Sus scrofa: one gene and its partner. The protein of the gene in region 2 purifies or fractionates together with the protein of the main gene of each other region. This does not show direct contact. Links are inferred from orthologs where the notes say so. Each region holds a gene or a part of one and is shown on either strand. Other genes may lie near its edges. The genes, in order: YWHAE and TBC1D4.

Region 1 (4,517 bases), on a different chromosome or scaffold from region 2:
TGTCCTCTTCTACCTCAATTGATCCTCTAGCTCCTTCCATTGCAGCGTCCCTACAGTTTGGAATGTTAGTCCCCCTTTTCCAATCCCATGGATATTACTCCTACTTGGGCATTCTTTTTTTTTTTTTTTTTTTTGCCATTTATCGGGCCGCTTCCAGCGGCATATGGAGATTCCCAGGCTAGGGGTCCAATCGGAGCTGTAGCTGCCGGCCTATGCCAGAGCCACAGCAACTCGGGATCCGAGCCGCGTCTGCGACCTACACCACAGATCACTCCAATGCCGGATCCTTAACCCACTGGGCAAGGTCAGGGATGGAACCCGAAACCTCATGGTTCCTAGTCGGATTCCTTAACCACTGAGCCACGACGGGAACTCCTACTTGGGCAGCCTTTGAGAACCTTATAACCAACTGTGATAAAAGGAACTCGTCTTTCTCCGCATTCCATCTGAAAATTTTCCTAGCATTCTTATTTTTTTTGTTAATGGTACCATTTAGTCTCTTAGTGACTAGGTAGGGAAGATAGAAGGTCAATTTAATCCCCCCCCCCCACATCTGATTAACTACAAACTCTTCGTAGTTTCTCTCTTAGCACTATCTCCATTTGTCCTTTCCTATTTTCATTGTGGTCATATTACCTTTTGCCTGTATTATTGTAATAGCCTGATCATTTATTCTGCTCTTTAATCACTGCTATACAATAATCTTTTTAGAGAATAACGATGGTGTCATCCACCATGAAAAATCATCAAAAAATAATTTCCTTGTGGCCACTGAATAAGGCGCAAACTTCCCAGCATGCCATCCAAGCTTCTTCATAACTTGGTTCCAACCTTTTAATACACATTTACCGCAGACACTACCAAACAGCTTATATTCTAATTACCTGAACTTCAGTCTTGCAACACATACTGTACGAATACAAGATGTTAGGAATCCACTGGGAAGCCAAACATCAGGTCGTTTCCCTTTCCTGCCTCCTGATCGCAATGTGATCTTGCTCCTACTCTCCTGCACCTTAGGTGCTCCAGACCAGGATCCCCTAACAACTTCCCTGTACCGATCCATGGTGGGCCCAAGGGGAAAAAGAAGGCTTAAGGAGAAGTAAAGAAAGATTGCGAAGTAAGAAGCTGAAGTGTGAAGTCCTCGTTCCGCATTTGGCTACAGAAGAGCCCAACTCTTTACCCTGGGGTTAAAAGGGTCTGAGTAAGATCCAGGACTGCCTTTACCATTACCAAAATCGTTACTGCCGCTAGTTTCTCTGCCCGTAGTCCAGCTCTTTCGTTCACTCTCTCGCCTGGCTTCCCTCACTTCCTTGGGGAGCTTTCCCACTATGCAGTCGCAGTTCCCGCTTCCAACCGCCCCTAAGCCCACGGAGGAGGGGCGTCTAGTAGGTTCCAGCCTCTTCGGGCGCTGAGCTCCCAGACCCGCCCCCCCGCGCCAGTTGCCAGGGAGCGGTTGCCATAGAGCTGAGCAGTTGTCCGCGTGCGCAGGCGGAAGTCCCGGATTGAGGCGCCGCCATTTTTGCTGCCCGGTCGCGGAGCGAGAGGCTGAGAGAGTCGGAGACGCTATCCGCTTCCATCCGTCGCGCAGACCCTGCCGGAGCCGCTGCCGCAATGGATGATCGGGAGGATCTGGTGTACCAGGCGAAGCTGGCCGAGCAGGCTGAGCGATATGACGGTGAGTTGGGGGGGGAACGGGGGGCTGGAATTCTAGGACCCTCTGCCGCCGCCCACAGAGACCAGGACCAGGAGACAAAATGGCGGCATCGTCTCCTAGCCTGGCCCGGGGAGGTGGATTTGGGAAGCAGGCAATGGCCTGTAGGCTTTCAGAGCCGCAGGAGGCTCCAGACTCAGGATTTTGACTCCTTCGGCGTTCTCAGCTGCAGACACTCGGGAGCCAGGAGGCCGGGGCGTTAGGGTGGAGGAGTTGGTTGTAAAATGGCGGCTGGGGGGGAGGGCGAGTCCCGGGGCGGGGGAGGGGGAGGAGATGGCGGGTGCTGTCTCCCAGCGAGCAATCCCCAGGGGAGCCTCGGGGCAGTTCTTGGGACGTGGTGAACAATTGGGTGGCGTGACGAGGGAAGAAACACCCGCCACATGGGGGAGAGTGGCGACCGGGAGCGCGGGCGCCTTTCAGGGAAATATGGCGGGTGGGGGCGGTGGCTTTTCCCCAGAGGCCCAATGTGGGGCGGCGGCTGTGTAGTCTCACAAAGGAGAACCCTTGCGAGCGGAGGGCTCCTTTGGGTTTGGGGTGGGGGGCAGTCTCGGATGAGGGTGGGGAGAGCGAGGGGAGAGTGGGAATCACTGCAGTTCATCCTTGGGCGGAGGCCAGCCGAGATGCTACGTTCGGATTTCCTTCCCGTAGACCAGCACACCTTGTAGTGGGGTTTTTTAGGCTTTCCGTTCAACCTCGCCTTGTTCTGGGGAGGTCTAGAAAAATCTCTCTCACGCTCCCTTTCCTCAAACTTAACCTGCAGAGTTCGAAGTTCCTGGTAATCATTTTCTGGCTTCATAAGCTGTGGGTTCTGGTGGATAGATAGAACATTGAACAGGAAACAAGGAGATGATGAATTTTAGTTCCTCTCCTATTCCCGTGCCTCAATCTATCAGTATTTAAAAATGACGACTTTCCTGTTTACACGCGGCATTACGACAAATGGAAAGACCTGTTGGAAAATCAAGTTTTTTCAAATAACGTTTAGTAACTGTATTTTAGTTGCCTTCCTTGGCTTGGAATGCGTGATCGTACTTAACCTATCCCAAAGCACTCAGCAGAGATTTGGGTTTTTGAATTAAGACCGTAAGGAATCCCAGTAGATCTTATTTTCTTTTCTCCGTTTTAAGTAAATGGTTTCATGCACAGATTTGAGCAGTTCTTTGTTCCTTGCTCCTTTTCCCCTAAAGGCTCTGTAGTCATTTTTCAGAACTTCTTCGAAATGGCCACTGTGTCTTTTTAGTCGGTTCTAGGCTGCTTTTTTTATTGCCCCTCTCGTTGTGGGTCTCCTGCCCCCGCCCATTTTGGATCTAGGTATGTGAATTACTCCCACATCTTTTAAACTGGCATTATCATAACAAAAAATCCTATGTATGTTTTTTGTGGTTTTTATACTTTTGTGGCGTAAGACGGGGTTGGAATCAAGTGTCAATGAATAGATTTTTCTTCATGAAGCCACTTTTTTCCCCAAAATGTCGTGTGGAGACCTTGCTTTCCTTGAATGCCTGTTTGGTCATGTGAATAGTCTCAGGGCTGGTCCTGGCGTATCTTCATTAGGAGTCAGGAATTTGAAAATTACTAGAAAAGACCTCGAACTCAAATTTAGGAAGGTTACTACTTCTATTTTGTAAATCCTTCAATTGCTATTTGTATTGAACAAGATTCCTGTGGAAAGGGGGAGGGGAAAAGATGGGGAAGTACAGCTCAAGGTCAGTTTTGTCTTTATTTCACTGTTGAAAAGCGAACTAATGTAGGTGTGCTTGGAATGGAAGTTTTTCTCTTCTCCCCCCCTCCTGTCCCAAATAGGTTCCTCTCTTAATACACCAATGCCCTTAGGGAGGAAACTTGAAATTATATCGGAATGCTTTCTGTTCTTTAGGGATTTATAGGCTCTGGCTGTGATCACCAAAGAGGACGTGGAGGGAGCTTTTTTTTTTTTTTTTAAGAACTTGTTTTAAAAAGTGGTTTGGAAGTTCATGATTGTAGCTTTCACGTAAGTGACAGTTTAGTGATAATAATGTATTGGTTTTGAGTGTTTGAGGATTTTTGACCAAAGGCCTTATTATTTAGCACAGGATCCGTATTCTTAAGGTTGTTTAAACGTTAGGAGTGTCCTTCAGAATCTAAAGGGAGGTAGGGAATATAGGATCTACCAGTTTGGAGAGAATGTCCGTGACTGTTGGGTACAAGACAGAGAGGGATTCATTGGAAAGGGAGAAGAGGAAGACACTCCTTAGGAATCAGCCTCTACCTGTGACCACTCCTTTATTGGATATAATAATTCAGTTTTGTTTCTGGTGACAAAAAGTGATTTTATAGTTGTAGTTAGCAAATAATTTATCAGGCATGGGGAAAGTGAAGAGTGCATTTGAATGACTTGGCTTGGTGTAGTTGGATATAAATGTTGGCTTTTCTTCTTGTTCCTGTAGTACCTTTGTCTTTTATTTTGCATGTTATGTTGAATCTATTAAACTTTTTTAGTAGCATCATTGAACTCTGACCTGGGGAATTGGAATCAATTGATATGGATTATTTAATGGTACTGGAGGATGAGCTAAGCTGTGTTCAGGAAAAGGACAATTTTGGGTTGCAGATAGGAAGTAAGTTTGGGGCTAGGACTGTTAATTTTAAAGATTAAATCATGTAACAGGCTGAGGAATTTCTATCATTCATAGCCAAGTTAAGCTCATCACCTTTTAATATTCCTGGGCCAAGTCTTAACTTACCCGGCATATATGAACCACATTAGTACAGAAAAGTGGGAAATAGGGAAAAAAAATAAGTACTTTTACATTTTTTGAGAATG
Region 2 (3,812 bases):
TGACATTTTCTACCCTATACAACTCCAAAAAGTACTTTTTAGAATTAAGAATTGTCTTTTACACCTATAACATAGCTTGTACCCAATTATTTTAATAACTGATCTAGTAAATTATTAGGTCTATGATGTTTCTTTAACTGTCTCTCTTGTGTGACAGAATACACTGGGGTATTCTCATCTGAATATACATCAATGAGTCTCTGGACCTTTTTTTTTTTCTCTCTAGAAAACTCTCTTTTCCTCATGACAATTCACACTCTTTCAAATTATATCTTCAGACCCTTTATAAGGTTGGCTTTCTGCAGTCGTTTAAAAAAAATTATTTAAGAATCAAGGAGTTCCCGTTGTGGCTCAGTGGTCAACAAATCTGACTAGGAACCATGAGGTTGCGGGTTCGATCCCTGCCCTTGCTCAGTGGGTTTAGGATCTGGCATTGCCGTGAGCTGTGGTGTAGGTTGCAGAGGCGACTCAGATCCCGTGTTGCTGTGGCTGTGGTGTAGGCCGGCAGCTACAGCTCCGATTAGACCCCTAGCTTGGGAACCTCCATATGCCAAGGGAGCGGCCCAAGAAATGGCAAAAAGACAAAAAAAAAAAAAAAAAGAATCAAGCTAAGGCAAACGCTGGTGATGCTAAGAGTAATCTATTCTTATTTCCCCACCAACTTTCCCTGACACTCCTCTAAGTGCTTCTTTCTCCTCCTCTCCCTGCTCCCTTTTTTCTTACACTCCATGTCTGCCTCTCACCCCTTCACTACTCTCCTTTGTTTGCTCTCTTTGTCCACTACCGGCTCTGCTTCCCAGGGGGTAAGACAGAAAAGTTGGATGCTTGCAGACTGAGGAACTGGGAGGAGCTGGCCACCCGGCCGCTTGCGTCTAGTAAAGGAGGGGGAAACACCCCGAGAGCTCGCGGCCAGGGCAGCACCTGGAACAGCATCGTTCTGTTCTTCTCCGAATCCGAGGGCTGGACGTGGCTGGGCGCGCTGGCGTGCCTCCTCCGCGGCTGGGGCTTCTGGCTGTTCTCGTGAACTTTCCTCTGCAGGACACCCGTGACGCTGCTGCACCGGGACCGGAACTCCTGCTGTTCATCAAAGGCAGAATCTTCCAAAATCCGCTCGGGGAAGCAGATGCGAGAGCTGGCCGGTCCAGGCTGGCTGGGAGCGGAGGAAAAGACCGGGTGGGTGTCGGCGACGCCGTCCCCTTCCTCGGACAGCGCGTCCGCGAGGGGAGCGGGCGCCTCGGCCACCAGTGCCGCCGAGTCCTCGCCCGCATCCGGGGGGCGGGGCTCGCCCTGGACCCTCAGGCGCTGCTGCTCGTGCAGGCTGAACTTCTCAATGCAGTCGTCGATGAGGCTGGACGGGGCCTTCTTGTGGGTCACCGTCACCTTGCCGCAGTACAGGACCTCGAACTTCTGCGAGTTGTAAAAGGCATCCTCGTTGTCTTTGCTGGGCTTGGCATCCTCTTTCATGGCCGCTTTCGATAACTGCCTTATGCTGCTGATGACATCCGGAACCTGGAAAAGAATTCCAAATCCTCACTTCAGTGGAGTATTTAGGGATCATTTATGTTTACCTAGACCTGTTATTATCACACAGATTGCATTCTCATACCAAATGACAAAATGCAGAGAGGAATGGACCCTACATAACATAAAGTGTAAACTTAAATTATACTACCAGATATATATGATTTAGGGATCAGACTGAAATTTTATGATATCAGCTTTAAACTTTTCCCTTTTAAATGTAATCATTTCCCGAAAACAAAATCATAAGACTACATAGGCCACAGCAATCTTTAGTAAATCATCATATATCCTTTGAGTACTTTTAAAAGTTATTATAAGGAGTCAAAAGGTTAAAAATTAAATTAAAAATAAAGTGTAACACTGAGGTACCAACCACGACTGAGATAAATAAATTATTACGAGCCTCAGCTGAAAGGAACCCAAAGTTTCAACAATGAGGGTAAAATTAACTTTCTCGATGAAAAGATTAAGATCCAGACACCCCCCCCCCCCAGCATTAGCCATCAGGGAAGATGCAAATTAAAACCATAGGAAGATGTGATTTACACACCTGTTACAATGCTAACATCAAAAAGGCCAATGCCCACCAGGATACAGAGCAACTGGAACCCTCAGCCATTGTACGCAGAAATGTAAAAACAGCACAACCACCTTAGGAGGCTGGCAGTTGCTAAGGAGTTAAACCTAGATCTATCTCATGACCCAGTCATTCCACTCCTAGAGATTGAGCTGAAAGTCTTTAAAAACATATGTCCACAGAAAGGCTTATACACAGATATTCATAGAAGCCTTAGTCACAATACCTCCACAAGTGAAAACTCACTAATCACCAAGGAAACGCAAAGAAAACCACAATGAAGGATCACCCTATACCTGTTAGGATGATTATCATCAAAAAGACAAAAGAAAGTGAGTGCTGGGGAGGAAGGGGGAGGGGAGAAAACCCCTGTGCGCTGTTGGTAGAAATATAAATAGATGCAGTCACCGTGGAAAACAGTATGGAGGTTCCTAAAATACTGAAAATAGAACTACCATATGATCCAGCAATCCCACTTCAAAAGAAATAAAATCACTCTCTTAAAGAGCTCCCCGAACCTCCATGTTCATCATAGCATTCTTCACAATAGCCAAGACATGGACACAAGTGAAGTCAGCCGAAGTGTCCAGTAAAAGATGAATGGATTTTTTAAAAATGTGATAAATATTATTTAGCCAAAAAAAAAGGAAATCCTGCCATTTGCAACAAAATGGACGGATCTAGAGGGCATTATGCTAAGTGAAATAAGTCAGATGAGAAAGGAAAATACTGTATGATCTCACTGTTATGTGGAATCTTAAAAAATAAAAAAAATAGGAGTTCCCATCATGGCTCAGCAGAAACGAATCTGACTGGCATCCATGAGGACACAGGTTCAATCTCTGGCCTTGCTCAGTGGGTTAAGGACCCAGCATTGCTGTGAGCTGTGGTGTAGGTCACAGACACGGCTTGGATCTGGCATTGCTGTGGCTGTGGCATAGGCCAGAGGCTACGGCTCTGATTCCATCCCTAGCTTGGGAACCTCCATATGCCGCAGGTGTTGCCCTTAAAAAATAAAAGGACCAAAAAATAAAAAATAATAAAATATTTTAAAAATTAAGAAAAAATACAAGCTCATAGATGAAGAGAATAGACTGGCCGTTGCCAGAGGCAGGAGAGGAAGGAATGGGTGAAGGTGGTCAAAAGGTACAAACTTGCAGTTACAAGTAAGTTCTGGGGATGTAAGGTACAGCATGGTGACGAGAGTGTTATAATACTATACCGTATATTCAGAAGTTGCTAAGAGAGTGGATCTTAAACATTCCCATCACAAGAAAAAAAAAATCCATAACCATGTGATGCCAGTGAATCTTTATGTGAGGAGAGTGATGTTAACTCAATTTCTGGTAATCATCTTGCAATATACACACGTATCAACTCATCATGTTGTACCCCTTGAACTAAATACAATGCTCTATGTCAATTATATCTTGATAAAACTGAAGAAAAAATGAACAGATAAGCCAAAGGCAGTACACTCACACAAAATGGAATACTGGAGTTCCTGTCATGACTCAACAGTTAATGAACCCGACTAGTATCTGAGGACAAGGGTTCGATCCCTGGCCTCCGCTCAGTGGGTTAAGGATCCGGCATTGCCTTGAGCTGTGGTGTAGGTCGCAGACCCTGCTCAGATCTGGCGTTGCTGTGGCATAGGGATCCAATTGGATCCCTAGCCTCGGAACCTCCCTATGCCGAGGGTGTGGCCCTA

What was found.
Region 1: the proteins of TBC1D4 (region 2) and YWHAE purify together in Homo sapiens (affinity purification with mass spectrometry; 3 studies listed by BioGRID and IntAct, with this or other methods). This does not show direct contact. The link is inferred for Sus scrofa from reciprocal best matches to the Homo sapiens genes TBC1D4 and YWHAE.

The regions. Positions count from the first base shown.
Region 1 is NC_010454.4:47,642,274-47,646,790, reverse strand, and holds the start of YWHAE (14-3-3 protein epsilon), read left to right. Parts: upstream 1-1,463; 5' UTR 1,464-1,614; coding exon 1,615-1,678; intron 1,679-4,517. UniProt on the Homo sapiens protein: Adapter protein implicated in the regulation of a large spectrum of both general and specialized signaling pathways. Binds to a large number of partners, usually by recognition of a phosphoserine or phosphothreonine motif.
Region 2 is NC_010453.5:47,627,329-47,631,140, forward strand, and holds part of TBC1D4 (TBC1 domain family member 4), read right to left. Parts: intron 1,510-3,812; coding exon 922-1,509; intron 1-921.